Linked DNA regions of Ovis aries. The protein of the gene in region 1 binds, or shares a complex with, the protein of each later gene. Links are inferred from orthologs where the notes say so. Each region holds a gene or a part of one and is shown in the gene's direction. Other genes may lie near its edges. The genes, in order: LRP6 and SOST.

What was found.
Region 2: the proteins of LRP6 (region 1) and SOST are in contact, whole or in part, in a crystal structure (PDB 6L6R), measured with the Homo sapiens proteins. The link is inferred for Ovis aries from reciprocal best matches to the Homo sapiens genes LRP6 and SOST. Residues at the interface, in NP_001401174.1 of Homo sapiens: Arg28, Asp52, Val70, Ser71, Glu73, Leu95, Ser96, Asp98, Glu115, Arg141, Trp157, Trp183, Asn185, Ala201, His226, Phe228, Trp242, Met269, Arg336, His361, Asp379, His404, Asp406, Thr422, Glu447, Arg449, Trp465, Trp491, Asn493, His534; in NP_079513.1 of Homo sapiens: Leu115, Pro116, Asn117, Ala118, Ile119, Gly120, Arg121, Arg169, Thr171, Arg172, His174, Asn175, Gln176, Ser177.

What each region holds. Positions count from the first base shown.
Region 1 is NC_056056.1:203,318,840-203,322,648, forward strand, and holds part of LRP6 (low-density lipoprotein receptor-related protein 6), read left to right. Parts: intron 1-921; coding exon 922-1,148; intron 1,149-3,546; coding exon 3,547-3,731; intron 3,732-3,809. UniProt on the Homo sapiens protein: Component of the Wnt-Fzd-LRP5-LRP6 complex that triggers beta-catenin signaling through inducing aggregation of receptor-ligand complexes into ribosome-sized signalosomes.
Region 2 is NC_056064.1:43,393,563-43,398,104, reverse strand, and holds the start of SOST (sclerostin), read left to right. Parts: upstream 1-1,637; 5' UTR 1,638-1,689; coding exon 1,690-1,906; intron 1,907-4,542. UniProt on the Homo sapiens protein: Negative regulator of bone growth that acts through inhibition of Wnt signaling and bone formation.

The sequences.
Region 1 (3,809 bases):
CTAATATGCAAAAATCATGTTAGAGCCAGGGTTAGACTGTAATGGTGGCCAGTAAAATCTGTTAAATGAGTGAGTAAATAAATGCTTTATTATGTGGACTTGTGACTTTCCTCATCTTGAAAGCAGAGATGCTTTTGTGAGCATTAAATGAGAAAATATATGTACACCAAGCACTTAGGATGGTACTTTCTATGAAGTAGGAGCTATTATTAATAGCTTAAATTATGACTGTTTTAATTTTTAGGTGATTCATAGCTATAATGGTAATGATATGAGTAGTGTCATATGCATTTTATAAGGTATAAGGTTGTTGAGCTCTTCCTCAGTTAATGCAATGACTTCGCATACTCTCAAGCACCTTTAGGAAGCTCTGTGTGTGTTAGTCGCTCAGTCATGTCTGACTCTTTGCAACCCCATAGACTGTAGCCCGCCAGGCTCCTCTGTCCATGGAATTCTCCAGGCAGGAATATTGTAGTGAGTTGCTGTTCCCTTCTTCAGGGAGTCTTCCCGACCCAGAGGCAGAACTTGGGCCCCTTACAATGCAGACGGATTCTTTACCATCTGAGCCACCAGGTTGGAAGTCAGGAAACTGGCAACCAGTTAAAAGTCCACAATACTCTGGTCACATCTTTTTCACTTGATTACTAATAATAAGTTTTATAAGAATAGTCGCTCCACTGTATTACTAGAATAAATTTCTGATTCTTAAGACTTTGAAAAATTTCTCCCTGAATTGACAATAAAACTTGAGGTCGCAGTTGTGTTCATTGGAGGTTGACGTCATTTTTTTTTTTTTTTTCTGTGCTCATAAAATAGGTGAATTGTATTGAGAAACTGTGCCTTTGGCTCTTCTGTATCTTCCCTTAAAATCTTAGGGTTTGGTACCTAAGCCGTGTGACGTTGTTAATCTTATTTCTGCAGACTATCAGCAGAGCCTTTATGAATGGCAGTGCCCTGGAACACGTGGTAGAATTTGGCTTAGATTATCCAGAAGGCATGGCCGTAGACTGGCTTGGGAAGAACTTGTACTGGGCAGACACGGGAACCAATCGAATTGAGGTGTCAAAGTTGGATGGGCAGCACCGACAAGTTTTGGTGTGGAAAGACCTAGATAGTCCTAGAGCTCTTGCGTTGGACCCCGCTGAAGGGTAAACAGCTTTTCATATCCGTTCTTTGCAACTGTATTGCACATGGCCTAGTTATGGATTGTATTCTTGATGTCTTTAAATCATGCTTTTTGGGGAGCTGACAGGTAAATCAACGTTTTATCTTAAAATCGTTAGTTGAGATTTCACTGATGTAGGATAAATAATTAGCTAAATTTTACTTTTGTCATTATTAGCATTAGGTGAATAAAAATTAGTGAAATGAGTTATTAGTTAAATATTAATGATTGTATTTATATGCTAAGTAGACAGCCTTTTGAAAGGTGTCATGAAATCTATTTGCTTCCACTCTCTCCCAAGTTATACCAGATTCTAAACCTCTGAAAATAAACCCACTGAAATAATGTGTGCTAAGAAATAACTACATTAAAAGGCTCTACTTTAGAATGTTCATTAACTCAAGAATGGATAATTCGTTATTATTATAAACTTGGAGAAACTTTGATATTAAACAGTGAACTTTCTGATAAATTTATGTACAACATGACATGTTTTTCAAGGATAGATGATCCTTCTTACATGATTTAGCAAGTTTTAAAAAGAGATCTGTATAGTCAAGGCTACAGTATTCACAGTGGTCACATATGGTCTTGAGAGCTGGACTGTAAAGGCAGAATGCCAAAGAATTGATGCCTTCAAACTGTGGTGCTGGAGAAGACTCCTGAAAGTCCCTTGGTCAGCAAGGAGATCAAACCAGTCAATCATAAGGGAAATCAACCCTGAATACTCATTGGAAGGACTGATACTGAAGCTGAAGCTCCAGTATTTTGGTCATCTGATGCAAACAGCTGGCTCATTGTAAAAGTCCCTGATGCTGGGAAAGATTGTGGGCAGAAGGAGAGGAGGGTGTCAGAGGATGAGATGGCTGGATGGCATCACTGATGCAATGGACATGAACTTGGGGAAACTCTGGGAGATGGTGAGGGACTGGGAGGCCTGGTGTGCTGCAGTCCATGGGGTCGCAAAGAATTGGACACAACTGGACGACTGAACAACAGCAACAAAAAAATCCATCATGTAAGAATGCTGAATTTTGAAGAATAACTCCATTTTAAAAAGCAGAAGTTAACCTTGTGAACATAGCAGCACATTGACCATGGCCATATTGCAAAGTTGTTTCCCTGAATCAGTCAATTCCCTGGTTAGCTTGCTGGCCATGCAGTTAGAAAGTCATACCAAAGGCACCATCTCTGTGCTGACATGTTTTGATTAGTTTATGGTGATTTTTACTCTGGCTACTAGTTACCAGACAGATAAATTTAGTAGTTGGGACAAAGGACTCTAGTTTACGTGGCTGCTGGCAACTGTGACGTTTCTCCCACAGTTGTTTTCTCTTTGGCTCTTGGGATGTACTCGTGCCTGTTAGCTGACAAGTACAAATGCAAACAAAGAACAAAGCCCAAGACAGCTTGAGTTTTCAGAAAAATGTGTTTATACATTGCTACCAAGTCAACCATCAGCCGATGGGCTGGTGAATGAATGTCTCCTTTGAGTAGTTGATGAGACCTGGCACGCGGAGAACTTTCCTAGACCCAGTATTCAAAGCGTCTTGAAACTAGCACTACTGGTTCAGTCCAAAAGGCATTTGGCTGAGAATTACCTTCTAGTTCTAGCTCTGCCATATGCCTGGCTTGAAGACATTAGACAGATCAGTTGCACTTCTTGTTGGACCTTGTCATCCTCATCTGCAAAAGTCTGTACTGTGCGGTTGCTCTACAGTTAATGTGAAAAACCCAAAAGAGTACATTCACAGGGACTGTAGTAGTAGTGTTCATTGCTCAGCTGACACACTAAGGGATGTGTGCGATTCAGTAGTATGTTACCTTGGACAATGTGACCAAATGCATTTCAAACTTTGCTTTTAAACTTCAGTTCACAGTTGTTAAGTTGTACCTTTGATGTACTGCGGCAGCTTGGTTTTTGGGAGAGTGATTTACACAAATCAGAAAGTAAGTTTTAAAAATTTAAAAAGTCGAATTTCTTGTCTTCAGAAATACATGTATTTTGTTCTGAAGTGAGTCAAATTCTGAGACCAGCACTTTAATCCTTTGCTATCTTCTTTTTGAATATTAGTTTTATAAATGCAAGTGCTGCAATAAGGAAACCATGGGTTTGTGTCCAATTCCTAGGTTTTGGATGGAACAGATTCATTGGAAACACTAAGGAAAGTTGACTCACTTCCTTTTTAGGATATGAGAAAAAATATTTAGTTGAGACTGCCAATGTAATTGAAAAAATTAATAGCTTTGATTTTGCTTTGCCAATTTCCTTGATTTAGTGTATATTTTCTTTAAATTTACTTAGTTACCATACATGAATATGATCGTTTCTCCCAAGTAATCAAAAGTGAAATGTTAAGTATCCATTGGTTTGAATTTAGATTTATGTACTGGACTGAATGGGGTGGAAAACCTAAAATAGACAGAGCTGCCATGGATGGAAGTGAACGTACTACGCTAGTTCCCAATGTAGGACGAGCAAACGGCTTAACCATTGATTATGCTAAAAGGAGGCTTTATTGGACAGACCTGGACACCAACTTGATAGAGTCTTCAAATATGCTTGGTAAGCTGTACTCTTTTTTTTGTTGTTGTTCAGAGGGATAGTATATAATCCTTTCTGTGAAAAAAATCAGTGGCTGCT
Region 2 (4,542 bases), on another chromosome or scaffold:
CAATGGCCACAGCTGTTTTCGTCTGCCCTGAAGGAAACTGACTTGGGAAGCAGGTATCAGAGGGGGCCCTTCCTGCAGGGGCTTCTGTCTGGCTTGTAAAACTGTCAGAGCAGCTGCATTTATGTGTTGAGTGATGGATGATGGAAAGGAGGGACAGACGGCCGCAGATGGACACAGTGACTTACAAGTCGAGGCAGGTGGCAGAGTGTGGGGTGTGCAGGTGGGGTGTGCTGATTCATTGCCCAGTGAAAATACCAAATACCACAGTCCACTTCCCAGCCTCCTTCGAGGCCTGGAGCGAGTGTGCCTCCTCAAACAATCCGTCTGCCACGAACGCTTCCGCGGGTGCGCCTTTCTTTTCCTGCACCTCAGGTGTGAATCTTCCTCCCCCTCCCTGGGCCCTCTTTGTTTTCCAGGGTGTGTTTGTGTGCTCAATCACTCAGTCATGTCCAACTCTTTGCAACGTTATGGACTATAGCCTGCCAGGCTCCTCTGTCCATGGGACTCTCCAGGCAAGAATACTGGAGTGGGTTGCCATACCTTTCTCCAGGGGATCTTTCCAACCCAGAGATAGAACCCAGGTCACCAGCATTGTGGGCGACCTGAGCCACCAGGGAAAGGTAGCGATTCCTTCTGAGCTCTCTGTGGCTAGCTGGACCTGGTACTGCTTCACCGAATGCATCCATCCCATGCTCTGCACCAATAAGGTTTTCCACACAGGACTCAAAGCGGGTTTTGAAAAATGTAATGGTCTGGGAAACAAGAAAAAAAAAATGTCAGCACTAAAAATGCTGGCTTCCACTTTTGCTAAGAAAAGGGATTTTGTGCTCTCTACTTCTACCCACAGCATGGCCCGGGAAATAACTGCCCGTGGCACATCAGCCTGCCAAGAAGTGCCTGTCACCAAGCACAAGATCTCCAGGGAGCCTGAGCCGAGGTTTCCTCCTTGTCTCCATCACCAGAGCCTGTTGACCTCTCACCCTGGCCTGGAAACCAGAATCCCTGCCCCCTCGGAAGTAGAAGCCCCTGCTGTGACCCTCCAGATTTCCCTCTTGCCTTCCAGAGGGATGATGACAAGAGGGGCCTTCTTGGTCAGGATAATTGATGCTGAGCCACATGTAGGCCAATGAGAGTTCTTAAAAAGCTGCCTTCTGCCTCTGCCTGGGTCCGTGGGGGCCAATAGACACCATCGTTTTATTTTGGTGGGGTGACAAATGAACTTGGCCTGAGAGGTGGGATCAGCAGGGCTAAGACCTGCAGAGAACTCAGAGCTGTAGTTTGCTTCATTAAGCTAGTGCTGAGTTTGTTTTGAGAAAGCCTGAGGGGCCCAGGGAGGTAGAGATGAGGAGCTGGAGCTCGTTTTGATATCCGAAAACTGCAGCCGCCTGCACGTGGGAGGCGCTGAGAGCAGGCTTGCCTCACACGCCCCCCTCACCATTGGTCACCTGGGAGCACCAGCAGCAATTTGGGAGATTTCTGAGCTCAAGGAGGAGTCTTTGGGGAGGGCTTGCCTGGAGCACACCCCGTTCCCTCCTCCTGGGCTGAGGGAAGCATGGGACCAGCCCTGCCCCAGCCTGTCCTCATTGGCTGGCATGAGGCAGAGGGGGCTTTAAAAAGGCAAACGTGTCCAGGCTGGGGACTGGAGCCTGTGCTACTAGGAAGGCCGAGTGCCCTCCTCCAGCTGGCACTATGCAGCTCTCTCTTGCCCTGTGTCTCGTCTGCCTGCTGGTGCATGCAGCCTTCCGCGTGGTGGAGGGCCAGGGGTGGCAGGCCTTCAAGAATGATGCCACGGAAATCATCCCTGAGCTGGGCGAGTACCCCGAGCCTCTGCCAGAGCAGAACAACAAGACCATGAACCGGGCGGAGAACGGAGGGAGACCTCCCCACCACCCCTTTGAGACCAAAGGTATGTGACGCAGGAGAGTATTTTTAGCATAAGGGTCCTGGGAAGGTTCTCTTTGGGACTGTTACCAGCACCAGTGGACAGACAACTTTGCCAGGAAGCCAGGGAAAGATGCCATGTCAGCTGTATCCTTAGAACTCAAGTGCGAGGGCGTGGGGCTGACAGGGTCCTGGGAGTGAAAGTGCAGAGCAGGAGGGAGGCTGCGGTGGTGGGTGCAGCTCTGGGACAGGCTCAGGGGCTCAGAAAGGAGATTTCAAAGAATCCCCTCCTGAGAAGAGAGGAGTAGGGTCCAACTGCTGACCCCACTGGGGAGGGGACAAGACAAGGGAGCTTCACGTCTGTGAGCACCCGCTAGATGCAGTCGCTACATGGACTATGCCTGGACCGTACCCCAGGGAACTCCCAAGGTCCTCCTCCCAAGGAGGCTTCAGAGATGAAGTGGCTTGTTAAGCCAGCTGAGATTTGAAGCTAGTTTGATCCAATTACAAGACAGCCCTGGAAGGGGACTACATAGGGGATGTCGGAGGCCAAAAGTCACAACGAATCCTGGCAAAGCAGTGAGAAAGGGACGCCAGAGGGGCACCCCTTCAGCCCCCACCACCCATGATCTACCCAGTGAGCTGGCCCTTGAAGGAATGGGCGCTGCAGCTACCTGAGTGGGGGCCCTGGAGGGGAAGCAGCATCCTTGGGGCCGGGCATGGACACAGGTGGCACCCTCTGTCCTGAGTCGCCACCCTAGATCTAGCCTTGCCTCCTTCCTGGGAGGGAGCCTGACCCTAGTGAAAGGGCAGAGACCCCACCTGGGTCCCTGGCTGGGTCTGCACAGAGAAGCCTGAGGGGCAGCATGCGTAGCTGGCTCTGCAGATGGCAGGAATGGCTGGGGGCAGGGGGCCGGAATGATGCTTCAGAGGAAGGCCCTCTGGCCGCAGTCCAGGTGGGAGAGGAGTCCACAGCCCTGGCCCTGGGATCCCATCCTGCCCTGCCTCCCAACCAGCTGGGAATGGGGGCTCTGCAGAGGGCACGCCAGAGGAGCCGTGCCTCTCCCCTGCTCCTGCCCAGGGAAGATCAAGTAAACTCAAGGGATGGGCTGTAAGGAACCCAAGATGTCCACCTCTCTGGGTTCCCATGAATGCCACAGGTGCAGAGGAAGCCACGTGCTCCGGAGTCACCCTGTGCAGAGGAAGCACTTGACCTAGGGGTACTATTCTTGGAAAGCCCCAAGCCTCCTTCCCTGGGCAAACAGGCCGCCCCCACACACCACCCCTGCGGGCCTAGGAGCAGGGGCAAGGGTGCCAAACCAGACCAGAAACAAAAGGCCAGCTGGGGGCGGAAGGTAACCCCCCACACACCCTGCTGCTGTGCTTATTCTACAAGGTAGGGGTGTGGGGGGCTGGCCTTGTCTGTCTCCTCTCTGGTTTTGGTCATAGGACTATTTTTCATCCCTTTGTGTCACATTGAAACTGTCCCTATGAGACCCCTGGGGATGGACAGGTGCTCACATGAGGACCAGCTGTTTAAAAAAGCTCCTACCAGTCTAAGTCCATAGTAGGAGACATGATCAAGGTGTCTTCAGGCATCAAGCCAGACCTTAGAGCCCAATCTTCCCCCGCCCAGGGAGCAGGTCTATGCCACCATTGGGTGTCCACAGAATAGCACAGAAGAGATGAGCCCAGCGCCCAGCACAGTGCCTGGTACACACCAGGTACTTAGTAAGTGTTTGTGGCAACTGAAGCTTTAGGTTTTCAGTCAGATCTTAGCCCCCTGATAGGGAAGGAACGATAGTAAAAGTAGTAAAAGGCAGCCCTTTGGCCCCCCTCACTCCTCCACTCAACATCCCATGGTGCCCAGGCACACAACTTCCACTTTGCGGGAGCCTGGAGGTGCAGGGGCCTCAGAGGCGCAGAGTCAGGAGACCAGCTCTGCCTTTCCGGAAGGAGCTTTTCCTTCTCCGGGCCTCAGTGATAATGAGGGGGTTGGAGGTGCTGCCATCGGCTCCTTTCAAGTCTAAGGACTTCAGTCCCCTCTCCACCTCTCCTTCCATCCCTCTCCTCCTCAGTAGCTGCTCTGATTTATTACCGTCAATTAACCCCTACTCCTTTCTCCATCCCCTCTGCACCCTGTCACTCCTCCCAACCAGCTAGAAAAGGAATTTGGGAGAAGTCAGAGACATTCAGAAGGTGTGGCTAATAACTACCCTGCTGAGGCCAGGGGCCCTGTGGGACAGATGTGACTTAAGTCTGGTGAAGAGGACCCCCTTGGAGAGGAATAATAACTGTAATAGCACCAACACTTCCAGCTCTTACTGTGTTCTAAGCAGCATCCCCTGAATTATATATGTAAAGGATTGGCTCATTGAATCTTCAAGACAACCCATTTTACAGATAGGAAGCACACAGAGGTTAAGCAACTTGTCCAAGGTCACACAGTCATGGAACTGATATTCGAACCGAAGCAGTCACTTGGCTCCAAAGTTTTAGGGTGAGAAGGTGGACCCGTGATCTTTCCACCAGCTCCAGAGTAATTGGGCCCTTCCCATAATAGACCCCCAGGGGCAAAAGCGTCTGGGGAGAGGCAGGTCTGGGGCGGGCAGGGGTGGTTTGGGGGGAGCCGGGCCGGGTGGCCGTCCTCACGCGCGCCTC